Linked DNA regions of Arabidopsis thaliana. The protein of the gene in region 1 interacts with the protein of each later gene in a pairwise test. Each region holds a gene or a part of one and is shown in the gene's direction. Other genes may lie near its edges.

Region 1 (8,548 bases):
GTGGCTTTCTTGGTATATGTAAATGTAGTTTTGAGTGTGGTCCGTTTGATTTGAAATAATATTGTTGTTTTTATGTTCAAAAAGAAAATTGCAAGGTTTGTGAATTTTGTGTATCAATACCAAGGCTTGAACCACTTTATCTATACTCGCTAAATAAATTTCGAAGGCTGCGCTAAATGGCTCGTGTCATTTACGTTGTCTTCATGAACGTATTGTAGTTAGTGTGATTGTAAAAATATTTCTTTGTTTAATCATTCCTCAAAAATTGTATTCGGCCTTTGAGAGATGCGGTGAGGTCGTATGCATGTTTTCCCAAATTTCGAATACTTGCAAACTGTTCTATGAATGTGGTTTTTAGGTACTCATGAAATAATTGAAAACTTTACTTGTCTATATGTTCGTAAACCATTGGCATTGAATTGCATGGCATGGCTTACTATGCGCGCACCAACAAAATGCACATGCATGCTTCACGAACGTATAAAGAAGCTGAGGGTGGACAACATTCACTGCTTGTAGTGGGCAATGCAGTCTTGTAGAGCAGTTGTACTTTCAAACGAGGTTCTTTGTCAACGTCTGATTGGTTTTCTAGAATAATTGAAGGAGTACTTTTGTCCTTATCCTCGCAATGGACTGAGTAAGTTTCCTCCGCGGTTCCCTACTGGCCATGAGCTATGAATTTTTCAAGTGGTGGGTGCCAGGTGCCGGGTGGGTGCGGCGTTAGGATTATTCCTAAAGTTGAGGATCGATATACGGTTAAGTTTTTTTGTTATGGAGTGGTGTTTCGTAGTTTGTCATTGCATCAGTTTGATAATCTCTTTCTTCTAGCACCAGATTGTTTAGATAAATGTTAGGATATATGTGGAAGCAAAGGAATGATGTGGTTCACAACCAAGTCTCGATCCCAATATCAACTATCTTCAAGCTCATCGACAAAGAGATTCAGAACGTAAGCACCGCAAGACGTAAATGCAAGCGTTATTGCAACCTAATGCAAACTCTGGTTAATTTTAACTCCCACTATGTAATGTGACTTCTACATCATTTGTCTCTTTGTTTAATTTTTTGGCCAAAGATTCAAATCCATTGATATTCAGAGACAATAGTCTATATGGATTTATTAGATATAGTCTATATGGACTTATTAGATGATATTAACATTCATAGAGAAAACAACAAATTAGGATACGTTTTCTTTCTAATGAGAAAGTGAATGTACGAATGGTTGTTGGGAGGCTATTGTGTCTCGTAGATATTTTAAATAATTTGAATGTTTACTAATATAGAATGTGTATTCAATTATAACTATTTAAATTATTTTATTGTTGGTTTAGACGCATTCTTAAACTTTCACATCATTCTCTCGTGACTATTATAATAGTTATCGTGCTCGATCAATCATCTCGTGACTATTATAATTTTATCAATAGTTTATGCATAAGAGAACTGATAACGATCATACTTCTTTTTGTCATTATGATAGCTTATGATTAATCATTGTTTATCCATACTTGACGCTTGTAAGTGAAACATATGTTTAAATTTTCAGGCTTAATTTAATAGCCACGAACCAAAAATTATCTTATAATAAAAGTTTGGTGCGATTTAAGAAGATTTGTCCCCAAAGCCCTATCTGAAAGAGGTCAAATTGGATTATTAAATTCAACATATTAATCAATTTGATATTTGTTTAATGGTCTGATTAGTGACAATTATAAGTCTAATATTGCGAATCTTTTGCAGTGAGTATTCCACGTGATATAGATAAGTTTCCCTTAATGGATAACCTTTGCATCAAACAATTAGAAAACAAATGGAAGAGTATCAATCAAGTAGATCTCGAAGCAGTGGACCCTAACACGATACTGGAACATGGACCAAACCTTAAAATATCGTCCAAATTGCTTATTTTCTGGAAGGTTACAAGTGCACAACACTCTAATAATATATGCCCCGCATAACAATTTTTAAAACTATTTCATCTTAGACCTCGGATATTTTGAAGGAAGCACATTTTCTTGAAAATCACTAGGTGACTTGTGTTTCTTTCTTTGGAGCATGTCAATTTACTCCCATCAGCTGGAGAGCCAAAAGTTAAAATTAATGTTCGAAATTTATTTCATAAAAGCTACGTACGTTGCATCCTTCCATGATCTAGAAAAAATGGGGGACAATAACCAAATTTATTCACTCTTGTCAGGTCATGGGGAGTAGTCTACGACCTTGAAAGTCACGTGACAAGTAATATATACTGTACCGTCCAAATATTTTCTTACTGTAATGTCTTATGTTTCATATCGCTAGACCCTTAATATTAGTGTGGACTAATTCATATAATTGCAAATAAAATAGTATGATTCTACGATTCTTCAAAATGATCTAATAGTTACAGTCTGGTCAAAATGATCTAAATCTTTATAAACAAATAACAGCTACGGAATAATTAACACAATTTTTGGTGATAAACTTTGAGTTATGATAGAAATTTTTTTTTTTTCAATTTTTAATGTGTATCTTAATTTCTTCAATTAATGTATCCCTATGTTTTATGTGACTATATAACTTTTGGTTAGTGATACTCCAAAAATGTTGTTTTAGGTTTTGACACACATATTAATAATTTGTTTTATTTTTTACTTTACAAAATTTCTTATTGGTTAAAACATAAATCACTGCAAATAAAACTTTAATTTTGTTTGTAGTCAAAATTAGCTTTTAAAAATGTAAATTGATATTTATTCTAATTATTTTTTTAATGTTCTGACAATTAATTTAAAACGGAAAGCGTAATAAAGTAGATGTTGGGGCTGATTGGTAACGGCTGTTACTTTTGAACTCTAAATATTTCGGATGTTACGACTTTGACTGTAAAAATTTTGGTTGTAAAAATTTTGACGATAGAAACTTTAACTGTTAAAGTCTGATTGGTACAAAAAAATCACAATTATTTTTATTATTATTTAATATTTTTTATAAATATTATTTATGCTAAAAAATCAATTTATTTGGTAAAATAGTAACTAAAATAAATTTATTTTAAAAAAATACAAAATTCATTTTACAAATTCACTATTTTAAATATTTAAATTGGATCTGAAAAGAACAGAAAAAATAAAATTCGAATTAATCAATCGATTTTTTAATGATAAAATATAAATAAATTTGAAAAGAGTTTTGAAATTTTATGGATAAAGAAAAAATATTTTTATTTTGTTTTATTATTCTCTTTTAAAGTTAAAGACTTTAGGAAAAAAACAAAAGAAAAAAAGTAAATGGAGAGAAAAAAGCTTTTAAAACTTTAAAAATTAATAAAGTTTTAAAAGTGTGATTGATTAAAAAATAAATTTGAAAATTTTTAAATATTTTTAAAGCTTTGAAAACATTTTTTTTTTTTTTGGGGGGACAAATATGAAGAAAAAAAAAAAAAAAAAAAGACGAACATGAAGGGGAAAAAAACAAAAGACGAACAAAAATTGGAGATTTTTTCTTACACGTGTCATCATCTGCAGATTTGCGCTTATTAATTGTTTACCGTACGGTATTGTGGATAGGGTCAAGATTTTCATAACTTTACCGTAGTTAATATTTGACCCAACCATGGTTAAAATAAAGCAGTTTATATCACAGACACACACCTCTCTCTCTTCTAGACTCACTAAACAAAAATGATGATCGGCGAAAATAAAAACCGGCCACATCCAACGATCCATATCCCTCAATGGGATCAAATCAACGATCCAACGGCCACAATCTCTTCACCATTCTCTTCCGTCAACCTTAACAGCGTTAACGACTACCCACACTCTCCGTCACCGTATCTCGACTCCTTCGCTTCTCTCTTCCGTTACCTCCCGTCAAACGAGTTAACAAACGATTCAGACTCATCAAGTGGCGACGAGTCATCACCACTCACCGACTCATTCTCCTCCGACGAGTTTCGCATCTACGAGTTCAAAATCCGGCGATGCGCTCGAGGTCGATCTCATGATTGGACGGAGTGTCCGTTCGCACATCCCGGAGAAAAAGCTCGACGACGTGATCCGAGAAAGTTTCATTACTCCGGCACCGCTTGTCCTGAGTTTCGTAAAGGAAGTTGTAGAAGAGGTGATTCGTGTGAGTTCTCTCATGGAGTTTTCGAGTGTTGGCTCCATCCTTCTCGTTACCGTACTCAGCCGTGTAAAGACGGAACTAGCTGCCGGAGAAGAATCTGTTTCTTCGCTCATACGACGGAGCAGTTACGTGTATTACCTTGTTCGTTAGATCCAGATCTTGGATTCTTCTCAGGATTAGCTACTTCTCCGACTTCGATTCTTGTTTCTCCTTCGTTTTCACCACCGTCGGAATCTCCGCCGCTTTCTCCGAGTACCGGTGAACTTATTGCGTCGATGAGGAAAATGCAATTGAACGGAGGTGGTTGTTCGTGGAGTTCTCCGATGAGATCTGCAGTTAGGTTACCTTTTTCGTCGTCTCTGCGTCCGATTCAGGCGGCAACGTGGCCGAGGATAAGAGAGTTTGAGATCGAAGAAGCTCCGGCGATGGAATTTGTGGAATCTGGGAAAGAGCTGAGAGCGGAGATGTATGCAAGACTCAGTAGAGAGAACTCACTCGGTTGAGTCGACTTGGATCGAGTCTTTGATGACGTGGCGACTCGATCTGATTTTGTGAATATTTTAGAGATTTTTAAGGTGTTGTGGATAAATGACGTGGCGGGTCGATCTTAGTGACGGTACAATCGGACGATGAAGAAAAAAGCGTTAAGAGTAACAAAAAAAGGAAGAATTTGTAAAGAGATGATAATGAGAGAATTTGAGAGCTATTCTTCTGGCTTTTTTCTCTGCAGTTTTTTTTATTGTTTTCGTTATTTTCTTGTTTTTATTTTGGTTTTCGGCTTTATTTTGTTTGTTGTTTATTAATGTTATATCATTTTGTAATTAGTTCTCAAATGTATTTGGATAACATCTTAGTTTGAGACTTTAGAAAAGAACATTTCATTTGTTGTTTCCTTCTTATCGATTTCGTTGTTATAATAGTAAGAGGATATAAATATTTTTTGTTGGCCTGTTCTTTTTCCAAACGCTGCGATCATATCCAGCGACCAAAAAAACAGTTGCTTAACACACAATTACGTTGAAGTCTGTAGAAAGTTATGTGAAGAGGAGTCGCTCGATTTTAAAAACAGCGACCTATAAGGCATATACACGTGTCGCCAAAAAATAACAGCAACTTAACATTTTCACTAAGGACGCCGCCGGCGTCCATATTGAACGACTGTTTTTGTATCTCCGTTATAATTTTTGCTTTTCGTCGGAGTCCCTATTGCTGTCACAGCGATTAATAAACGAACAAGCCCAACAATTAATCAGAGAAAATAGTCTCGAGAAAATAACTCTCTTGCATCATATCTCTAATGAACATCAAATCTGCCTACAAATTCTATTTTTAAGTAAACATATTCCTTTTGACAAAAAAAAAAAACTATTTGGCTATTTCCAATGGTAGACTAGATCCACTCTGAAAATAGACTAATGACTAATGAATACTCATAATTTGGATAAAATTTTCATTTTCAGAATGATTTTCAAATTTAAATATGTTTTCAGTAATACACGAACAAATCTATATGTTTTAGGTATACATTGGGCATTTAATCAATACTAATATGGTTATCCAGTTAATTGAAATTTAAAAATACAACAATAATGTATTAAATTAAAAAATACAGTGACATAACAAACGATAATTTTATACATAATAAGTTATGAAATTTAACATAAAAACTCAAACAAACATAACAGAACATAGACTAGTAAACAGTTTTGTTTAAAAACTAATAACAAAAAAGAAATAGAATATGGTACACAAAAGAGAGTAATGGTAATCAATCCTATTTGCTTCGTGCAAATAGAGAGCATGAGACTCTTATTACTTACTTAGTTTGAGGAGAAAAGCTATGTTTTTTGTATTTTAATTATTAATTTTGAATAATGTATTGGTAGAACTTCTCTTATGAAATGAGATGTTTTTCTATTTTAATTTTCCTATTTATTGATTATGCTTTTTATATAATAGCTAATTTTTTAAAAAACATATTATTTAATTTGAATCGTTTTTGAGTAATGATATGAATGTAAAATCAAAATTTCACGTAACTTTCAAATTTAATACTAAAAATAGTTAGCATCAATAATTAAAAATGATACCAAAGGATTTATAACCTCACTAACAAAAATGATGTTTATCTTAAATTATAACATCATTTAAAAGAGTGATGCTAAATTGTTTTAGTTTCACTGAATTTAGCATCGCTTTCTAAAATGACTATATAATTCTACCGTCAGTTTAAAAGTCAAACTAACTTATAAAAAAAAAACTGATGCCAGATTTATTTATTTATTATCTTTTTAAAAAAATTTTAGTGATGATGCATCTCAGTATCTCAATGTTGTTTGTTTCTAACTTTCTATATTTAGTTTATAGTTTTATTAAAAAAAAAACTATTACATGGTCTAAAAAATCATAATTTTAACGTGAATTGTTTATATATGCAGTGAGTAAAACAAATAAATTTTCAGAATGCATTCCTCATTTATGAGAGAAGGAGTGTAATTTCTTCGCTTACTTTTTGAATGGAAGAAATCGTGTAATTTCTTAAAGTTGAATGATACTGCAATAATTATACAAAATGTTACTAATTAAGTAAAAAAAAAAAAGAAGAACAATACAAGGAACTAACAAACACAATTTTTTTTTTTATGCAAAATATAAGTAAAATATAAGTAAAAGATAAGCAAATGTACAATTTGGTTTTGATTAACCTATGCGTTTTTTTAGTATTTGGTCAAACCACGAATTAACTTGTTTCCAAAAACAAATTAGAAAAATTTCTGACTTTGGTTTGGCATGGTCTACAGCAGAGGGCAGAGAATCGATCAGGACAAAGTGTTTTGGAACAGCTGGTTACATTGCACCAAAATAAGCATGTAAGATTCTTCTTTAATATGTCAATATTTACATCTGATCACCAATATATTTGATTTATGACTCCTCTTTGTAATTACAGTGACTAACTACAAAAGCTGATGTCTATAGCTTTAAGGTACTTCTCATGGAATTAGTACCAGCCATCAAGCTATTATATGAAGATGATCATCACATTCCCAGTTGGTTCACGAAAGTATTCATCGACAAAGACTCATTCGAAAAAGCCATTAACAAAACCATGGACCTTAACTAGAAGACCGCATCATCATTAATGATTGACTAAATAAAGATATTATTTAATCTAAATGATATATAATATATTATTATAAAATGTTCATTACAGACATAGTTTTTTTAATATATCTGATGACAAATTAATACAAATGCTTATACCAACAAATAAAAATAATGAAAGAAACTAAATGATAAATAAAACTAAAACATAAATAAATAAATAAAAACAAATACAATCTTAGAGAGATAACTCTTGAATACGTATGACCAAATTAATCTTGGTTCCCCATAAAAGATATGAGTTTCCCACTCATATGTATGCAACTTCTTGGTGTTATAATAGCTAGGTCTCTATGCGTCTCAAAATTTTGTGGTGTTCTACTTTGTAATGTCATTTTTATAAATTCGAGTTTTCTTTTTATCACTTTCGTGTTTTGTCGTCTAGAAAATTCATGGTTAATCACACGTTAAATGTAGCATTGTTGTTTAATTAGATCATTCGTGCTTTGTTTTGATCGTATAGCTCAAGAGATTAATTACAGTTTGTTTTTATCGATAAACATGAGTGAGATGGTGTTGATGACAATTGGAGTTTATAATCAAAAGTTGTAATAAAAACCTAACTATGGGAATCTTGTCACGCAGGTAAAAAAGACCCTTTATCTCGTTTCTCTTATTGTTCTCTCTAAAATCGGATTGGTGATGATTGTTGTTATAACAGCCCAAGTAGTAGTAGGAGATCATCAGATGATAGCATGAAGCTTTTTACAACAGCATTGTTTGTTATAGCTTTTGGCATTGTTATTGGACTATCTTTTCCATCTTTATGGATCACTGAGGTTCTTCTTATTTCTCTTCAAATCTTTTACTTCTTAGATTTTATACTTCGTTTGTCGCATGCCATTTTTGTATTGTGTAGACAAGTCTCCCGAGAAACCTTCTTCGCTCCACTCACTTAGAGATTCAGGAATTGCAACTCCTCACAAAGCCATTGATGATCTCAAAGGCATGTTTTATGTAGGAATTTATACCTTTTTTCATGTTTTAAGAACAAACCAAAGCTTAAGGCATGTTTTGGTGCAGATATGGGAACCATCAAATCTTTGAGGCGCTGAGAGAATACCATCCGGTATCATTGCATCCGAATCAGACTTGTACTTGCGTAGATTATGGGGAACCCTGATGAGGTTTGTCCTCACTCTTTTGATATTACAGCTTTCATATGTGATCAATGAACATTAGCTTCAATTTTATTTTCTCTGTTTCCTCAGGATTTAGTGAAACAACCGAGATATCTAGCAACAATTACAGTGGGTTATAATCAGAGACACAA
Region 2 (8,340 bases), on another chromosome or scaffold:
AACATTGTTGATACGACGACAAGATTTGACAATTTTGGACTTTTGGTCGATGTAATATAACACAAGAGTGAAGAGATTGTGGTTTGAATTTAAGAGTGAACGGTCACAAAACAACAATGTTTAAGTTATTCACAACTTTGCATCATTATAGATTTATAAGCCGAGAAGAGCATAATCTGATTTTTCTTCTTGGTGATACTTTGCATTTTCAAGGTTAATAGTTTTCTTCTGGATCATCATTTTCAAGATTATATGAAAATAATCTAATTAGTACACGTTCATTAAACAAACATTTCGTTTATTCTTGTGAGTAGAAAAATAAGAGACGGATGTTTGACCGTTGACTGGAAATCTATATGTAAGTGGGGAATGCACGTGCGGGTGTCACTACACACACGTGTGCTTCGCTGGAGTGGGTGGTTTTGGGTCGCATAAGAATATGTGCGCCACGTCAATTCCACATGGGTAGCCCATAAGATTTTACGCACCACCCAACTTTCGAAGCTCTCTCTCAAGATTCTCCAATATGATTTTCATTTTTTATCCTTATAATCATTGAAGAAATTATGACTTTAAACAAAATCATTGAAGAAATTATAATCCCTATCTTTATTTTTGGCATGGGAATCTCAATGATCGATCATATTATTACCATTAGTAATAACAAGCCTCAATTTTAACGTCAAAAAATAATCAAAACTGTCACATACGCATTTTCGTTAATAATTAAAGCTTAGTGTTTATTTTTAAAATACTATAAGAGTCCAACAATCATGTGATGCAAACCTCAAATTCCGAGCTTCTCTAGAATAAGAATAAGCTGCTTTGTGTGATGATCATAATTATGCATGTTGATTGATTTTTCCTAAATCTAAAAAATAATCAAATATTCCAGTTAACAGATCTCAGTACATGTGAGAGGACAATTAGACAAAATCTAATGTACTATTTGTTTAGAGAATAATTGGTTAGTTAGGTTAAGGAAAAAACAGAGAGTATAAAATATCCCCAATGATGACCTCGTTCTACAGCCAAAATGCTGTAAAGAACATTCAAAGCTAATATACACATGCATGAAACATATGATTAAGCAACTAAAACCATGATTATTAGTCCTACGCAATTGCCAAACATATAAAATGATTACAACACATACTTTTAAAATATTCCGTTGCCTATGATTTTGTTTTGTGTTGTGGTACTCAACTTTGGATTTGGATCTGTGATGTAGGCCTGCAGCTTTTATTTCAAATAATATATATATATTTTATTTCCGAAGGAAACTAAGTAATCGAAATGGTGTATTCAATTCAATATTTCACTTATCATGTAAATTGAGAAACTAAGGTAAGACTGTAAGAGAATGCTCATACCCTTCTGCACTACCTCCAAATAGACGAGGCTCTACTGAAAAAATCGGAATAATGTGAAATAACAAGTTGCTGTTTGGACGCCATATCTCAATTTGCTATATCTACAAATTAACGATACCAAAGTGCTAGTAGGGGCTAAATGCAGAAATTTAAGCCATTCACCATTACGGATAGAACATGAAATTCTCATTTAAGCTATGCTACTTGAATATGTTCTCGTTAAGAATTGTTTCACCCTAGTGCAAGATCCGCGGTCATGCTCAATTAAGTGCTAAAAGTTAGACTAGTAGACCAAATTTGAATCCGATATATATATTACCTTGGTGCCGAACTCAAACTTAGACATGCTCGAACCTCAACACCAAGAACACTCGATGTTTTTGCCAATACTTACATAAAAGCTATTGGAGGATCACTAATAAATGATTGATCATCAATCATCATGCTTTGCGGACTCTCTTTTTCGTTGAGGGGTAAATGATTACAAATAAACATGCGCGCGTGGATATAACGCACTTGGTCAGTGCGTGTGGCACAAGTCAGAGTGAACACGTGGGACAGCCAGATCACACTGAAACACAACTCCGACATCTTGTCGGATCTTATGTAAAGCGTTGGGTCCCACTTTTCATAATATCTCTCACCACGAAACCCATCTTTTTGCTCTCAATTATTGTCGCTCATTGCCGTATCTCTTCATAATTTCACTATATACATGTCTACGTTAGGCGGAAATTATTAAATTGTTTTTGGAATTTTAGTTTACATGTTATTTTTTTCTAAATAAACATGAAATATATTTACAAAAGTATATCCAAACCATCATTTTTTTATTGTTTACATATACACTAATGACACTTTTATTTGGATTGTGAATTATGATTATGCAACGATCACTAGTAGTTTACTAGAACAATTAAGTTTACATGCTTCAGGCATTGTAAAACAACTATTTACAAAAACTGAAGTTAGTCTACAACTAGTTTTTGTGAAAAGAAAGGAATATTAGACGATAAAAAAGTAGGCAGCAGTTAAAGGAATCAAATAATTAACAAGTTAGCATTGATTGAGGCGGATGGTTACACATGATAAGGAGCAGGCGAGTGAGGAAACAACACAACACGCACGATCACGCTGTTATGACCCACATGCTCCTATCTCCATGTTACTGTACGCAAAGTGGTTATACATTTACACACACTTGACCAATATTGCTCACATTTAAATTTTTATTTCTAAAGGAAAAAGCACAAACATTTAAAGGTTTTACTGACGGAAGAAACGAAAAAAAGTAGTAGCTTTAAAATGTCATTGTTGATGAAAGTAGAAACCATGATGATGATATTTATGTGCAAATATTCATCTCACACGTATATCATTGGTTCATAACCGTTGGTTGGTCCACAACTTTGAACAAGTTCAGATTCTTTTTGATTGTGTTTTGTACCAACCACTCCAATTAGTCAATATTCCATTATATCCAACCTCAAATACTATTTTCCCTTTTCTCTTTAAAAAATATTTGGACAAATAATTGGCTACACTATTGGAGATTTGACTCAGCTCGGTATGCCGTAACTAATCAAGATACTATTTTCTATACTTTCTTTTATTGATATCCACATAATACATGTACTTTGAGTATAATGACGTGTACTTGATTAAGACAAAACGAAGTACGAGAATTATTGTATTTATCAACTTTGAGACATACTACATGATATGGATCATGAAAATTAACACAAGTAGTGCAAATTGCGTTATCCATATACAAAAAACATCGCACCTTGATGATTCACTTAATTGTAGATTACTTTCTCAGAGTGGTCCGGACATTTCTATTGGTTTTAAAGACATTGGCTTTAAATCTTCAGACACAAAACACATATACATGTGTACACTTGAAAACATATTGGCCATCTTATTTGTTTTGGACAAACTGCCATCTTATTATGCATGGGTTCTTGTAAGGAATAAACTAAAAATGTTTGTGAAAGAAAAAGAAAAACACAAATATTGAGAAAGTACAAAAAGAAAGACATGGCAAAGGCCAAAGGGGGGACACAAGTTGGAGATAAAGTAATACAAGTCCAAAAACAAAGAAACAATAATGATGGATTGTAATTAGCCACCTGACAAAATCTCTCATCATTCAAAGTACTATATTAATCCCCTCTCTTCTTCATTACCATCTCACATCTCTCTCTATTTCTCTTCCACAAAGAGTCCTAACTTCGAGTTGAAACAAACACCATTTCTCATCTCTATCTCAGAAAGAACAAACCATTTCGTGTTCTTTCTTTCTCTATTCTCATAAGGAAATATAATTCCTGAAACTGTTGAGTTCTTGTGAAAGGAAATAAAAAACATGATGATGGGCAAAGAAGATCTAGGTTTGAGCCTAAGCTTAGGGTTTTCACAAAATCACAATCCTCTTCAGATGAATCTGAATCCTAACTCTTCATTATCAAACAATCTCCAGAGACTCCCATGGAACCAAACATTCGATCCTACATCAGGTATATACTTAAATCTTCTCTGTTTTTTTTTTTAAAGAAACAGAACAGATTTCAGAATTGAAGTATGAGACTTTTCTTCGTTTCCAAGTAAAATAAAAACAGATCTCAAACTTAAAATTTGATTGCTCTTTGCAGATCTTCGCAAGATAGACGTGAACAGTTTTCCATCAACGGTTAACTGCGAGGAAGACACAGGAGTTTCGTCACCAAACAGTACGATCTCAAGCACCATTAGCGGGAAGAGAAGTGAGAGAGAAGGAATCTCCGGAACCGGCGTTGGCTCCGGCGACGATCACGACGAGATCACTCCGGATCGAGGGTACTCACGTGGAACCTCAGATGAAGAAGAAGACGGGGGCGAAACGTCGAGGAAGAAGCTCAGGTTATCAAAAGATCAGTCTGCTTTTCTCGAAGAGACTTTCAAAGAACACAACACTCTCAATCCCGTAAGTGTAAAAAAGTCAGAGGAATCAAATGATAATTATCGTAATTACTTTGAAATAACCAAGGTTATTATCATAATTTACAGAAACAGAAGCTAGCTTTGGCTAAGAAGCTGAACTTGACGGCAAGACAAGTGGAAGTGTGGTTCCAAAACAGAAGAGCTAGGTGAGATTTTCTTGTCTTAACACCAAAATTGTAAAATTACATTTATACCCCCTTGTGTAGAAGTTTTTACTTACAAGGTCCGATTTGGTTTTACAGAACCAAGTTAAAGCAAACGGAGGTAGATTGCGAATACTTGAAACGGTGCGTAGAGAAGCTAACGGAAGAGAACCGGAGACTTCAGAAAGAGGCTATGGAGCTTCGAACTCTCAAGCTGTCTCCACAATTCTACGGTCAGATGACTCCACCAACTACACTCATCATGTGTCCTTCGTGCGAGCGTGTGGGTGGCCCATCATCATCGAACCATCACCACAATCACAGGCCCGTTTCTATCAATCCGTGGGTTGCTTGTGCTGGTCAGGTGGCTCATGGGCTGAATTTTGAAGCCTTGCGTCCACGATCGTGATTTTTTATTTTAGTGGTGGGAAAAGGGTGTTTTGGTATTTTTCGTTATCGTTATATAGTCTATCTGTGTGGGGTCATTGTAATTTTGGATGATTGGCCTTCTCATGAACTAGTCCTATGTATGATGCAACCTTAAAAAGATTTAAATTAGCAAAAATTAGTTACAAACTTGCTATATTAACCAAAAATTATGAAACTATCTTTTTTTGATATCTTACAAGAGTTCTAAATTAAACCAAAAATTCACAAACGTCTTCTAGATAAATACACAGTTTCTGAGCATGGTATAAGTGTAGCTTATATGCAGTTGCTCAAAAAAGAAAAGAAAAAGAAGTGTAGCTTATTTGAAGTTCTTAACGAAATCATGAAATCTTGTGACCTAATCTGACTTCAATTGCTTTTCCGATTCAGATCTGACAAAGATGTATGAGCAATTCTTATTGGGTCTTAATGGGCTACATTATTATGTCGGCCCATACGTTTAGTCTTTCGTCGTCGTTTCCATCTGCGAAAGCGAAACTCTCCTATTTCTCTCACTCAAGTCTCATTCTTACGATTTTCTTAACGAAATCTTTCATCAATCGCTACACTTATAGCGACCCAGATGCCAAATTCATTGATTTCTCGTCTGGTATCTCCTTCATTACGATCTCAGCCCTCAAAAATCTCAGCTTTACGTTTTTTAACAACTGTCTCAGCCGCCGAGAGATTATACGGCCAGCTTCAAGGATGCACAAGTAATCTCGAGAAAGAATTAGCTTCGGCTAATGTACAATTAGACTCCTCTTGTATCAACGAGGTACTAAGAAGATGCGATCCAAATCAATTTCAATCGGGTCTTAGGTTTTTCATATGGGCAGGAACTCTATCCAGCCATAGACACAGTGCTTACATGTATACCAAAGCTTGCGACATTCTTAAGATTAGAGCAAAGCCAGATTTGATCAAATACGTTATTGAATCTTATCGGAAAGAAGAATGCTTTGTTAATGTTAAGACGATGAGGATTGTTCTGACTCTGTGTAATCAAGCGAATCTCGCTGATGAGGCATTGTGGGTATTAAGGAAGTTTCCTGAATTTAATGTATGTGCAGACACTGTTGCGTATAATTTGGTGATTAGGTTGTTTGCTGATAAGGGAGATTTGAATATAGCTGATATGTTGATAAAAGAGATGGATTGTGTTGGTCTTTATCCAGATGTGATTACTTATACGTCGATGATCAATGGGTATTGCAATGCGGGTAAGATTGATGACGCTTGGAGGTTAGCTAAGGAGATGAGTAAGCATGATTGCGTGCTTAACAGTGTGACGTATTCTAGGATTCTTGAAGGAGTTTGCAAGTCTGGTGATATGGAGAGAGCGTTAGAGTTGTTGGCGGAGATGGAGAAAGAAGACGGTGGTGGATTGATTAGTCCGAATGCGGTTACTTATACTTTGGTGATTCAAGCGTTTTGTGAGAAGAGGAGGGTTGAAGAGGCGTTGTTGGTATTGGATAGAATGGGAAACCGAGGGTGCATGCCGAATCGTGTTACTGCTTGTGTTTTGATTCAGGGGGTTTTGGAGAATGATGAGGATGTGAAGGCTCTTTCTAAGTTGATTGATAAGTTGGTGAAACTAGGCGGTGTTTCTCTTTCTGAGTGTTTTAGTTCGGCTACTGTGTCGCTAATCCGTATGAAAAGATGGGAAGAGGCTGAAAAGATTTTCCGTCTGATGTTGGTCCGCGGGGTTAGACCTGATGGTCTTGCGTGCAGTCATGTTTTCAGGGAGTTATGTTTGTTGGAAAGGTATCTCGATTGTTTCCTTCTGTATCAAGAAATCGAGAAGAAGGATGTGAAATCAACAATAGACTCGGATATACATGCGGTTCTTTTGCTCGGTCTCTGCCAACAGGGGAATTCTTGGGAAGCTGCTAAGCTTGCGAAATCAATGCTTGACAAGAAAATGAGATTGAAAGTTTCTCATGTTGAGAAAATCATTGAAGCCTTGAAGAAAACTGGTGATGAAGATCTCATGAGTCGTTTCTCTATTGATTAATTCAATTTATTCAGATAGTATGCTTTTATTATTCATATAAGAAGAAGGATTATTGTGTCACACAATCATCACTGAGCTTATTCGACATTGGATGAATTAGTATAGCGATTGAACTATTTGCTCATTTTAAGGATGCAAGGGCTCCTTGGTCTTGCGGTTGAGTCTTGGTGGGGCAGACTGTTGATCCTGGAGAAGAGGTACGACGTATTTGACGAGATCTTCGTCCGCCATTATTAAGTGGTCACCGGTTACATTCACAAACTGCACTTTTCCAGCAACAACCAATGCTTTCAGACCTATCCAATCTTCTATATAGAGCTTTGTCTCTTGAACAGGGAGAACATGTGTTAAGTCACCATCCGGATAAAACCCGAACCAAGATGACTCTTTTGGAACAATAACCGTATCGTTCTCAAACTGTATAAAAGAAAAACAAATCATCACGAGAGGAATCAGAAGATAGTAGACAACTATAATAGTTAAGAGAAGAGAAGCGAACCAGGACAAAAACCAGGTTCTGTAAACTTGCGAAACGGTCTTTGTAAGTTGTGTTTCTTTCGTATGGTCTCTCATTGTTAAGCTTAGGTAGATACTGACAGTCTTTCAGGTACCCTGTCACATTCTGTGAAACAGAAAAAATAATGTTAAGCTTAGGTAGATACTAATTTGTTGATTTTGCAAGTTTCCTAATAAACTATGGTGAATAGAGACATACTTTAGGGTTTTTGAAATAACCACTAGGAGCAAGATTATCCTGCAAAAGTCATTCAAAGATTTTAATTAATTTTCTAATTGACGACTTAATCATATGATGTAAAGAGAGAGAAAGAGATCAATACTTGAACAAAGTCGCTGTAGGGATTTTCCTTGCCTATCCCATTTGCTATGTCACAAATTAAGCCAGACTTGAACAAGGAAAACCAAAAACAACAGAAAAATACAATGTTGTGACTGTGATTGATTGATTAAAAATGAAATCAAAGATATATATTTGATATTTAGAGGAAATAAAAAAGCTTACAGTATTACACCGAAGAAGATCGGCGGTGCCAGCATGAGGACCAGCCAAGGATATATAGTTGTGAACAGGAGGCCCACCTTCGCAGAACTCGATTAAGCCTCGAGCCACTAAGCTCCCCTGTTCCATCATTCATCAACATCCATGAAACTTAAACAATATGTACATATAATGATCAAAACCCGATTTTAGGGTTTTCAAGAACCTGAGCTCTTCCAACAATGTTGTATCCTTGACTCAACTCTTCCATCTGCGTCACCTTATCACACGCTACTTCCGCTTGTTGTGTAAGTGGTATTAACCATGAAGCGCCTATTGGATTTCCCTCGCCAATTTCTCTGGATTCCATACCAAAAAAAAAAAACAAGAATCAGATCA

The links. The genes of interacting proteins can lie anywhere in the genome.
Region 2: the proteins of ATCTH (region 1) and HAT2 interact in a two-hybrid assay, tested with the Arabidopsis thaliana proteins (one large-scale study listed by BioGRID).

Annotation. Positions count from the first base shown.
Region 1 is NC_003071.7:11,038,152-11,046,699, forward strand, and holds ATCTH (Zinc finger C-x8-C-x5-C-x3-H type family protein), read left to right. Parts: upstream 1-3,179; 5' UTR 3,180-3,322; intron 3,323-3,414; 5' UTR 3,415-3,665; coding exon 3,666-4,613; 3' UTR 4,614-5,105; downstream 5,106-8,548. Other genes in the region: AT2G25905 (uncharacterized protein), read left to right, coding at 7,841-7,860, 7,937-8,054, 8,092-8,225, 8,299-8,344, 8,487-8,548.
Region 2 is NC_003076.8:19,213,049-19,221,388, reverse strand, and holds HAT2 (Homeobox-leucine zipper protein 4 (HB-4) / HD-ZIP protein), read left to right. Parts: upstream 1-3,381; 5' UTR 3,382-3,741; coding exon 3,742-3,892; intron 3,893-4,027; coding exon 4,028-4,338; intron 4,339-4,421; coding exon 4,422-4,501; intron 4,502-4,597; coding exon 4,598-4,907; 3' UTR 4,908-5,118; downstream 5,119-8,340. Other genes in the region: AT5G47360 (Tetratricopeptide repeat (TPR)-like superfamily protein), read left to right, coding at 5,511-6,944; AT5G47350 (alpha/beta-Hydrolases superfamily protein), read right to left, coding at 7,071-7,361, 7,444-7,566, 7,660-7,698, 7,784-7,849, 7,966-8,082, 8,168-8,300. UniProt on the Arabidopsis thaliana protein: Probable transcription factor that plays a role in auxin-mediated morphogenesis. Negatively regulates lateral root elongation.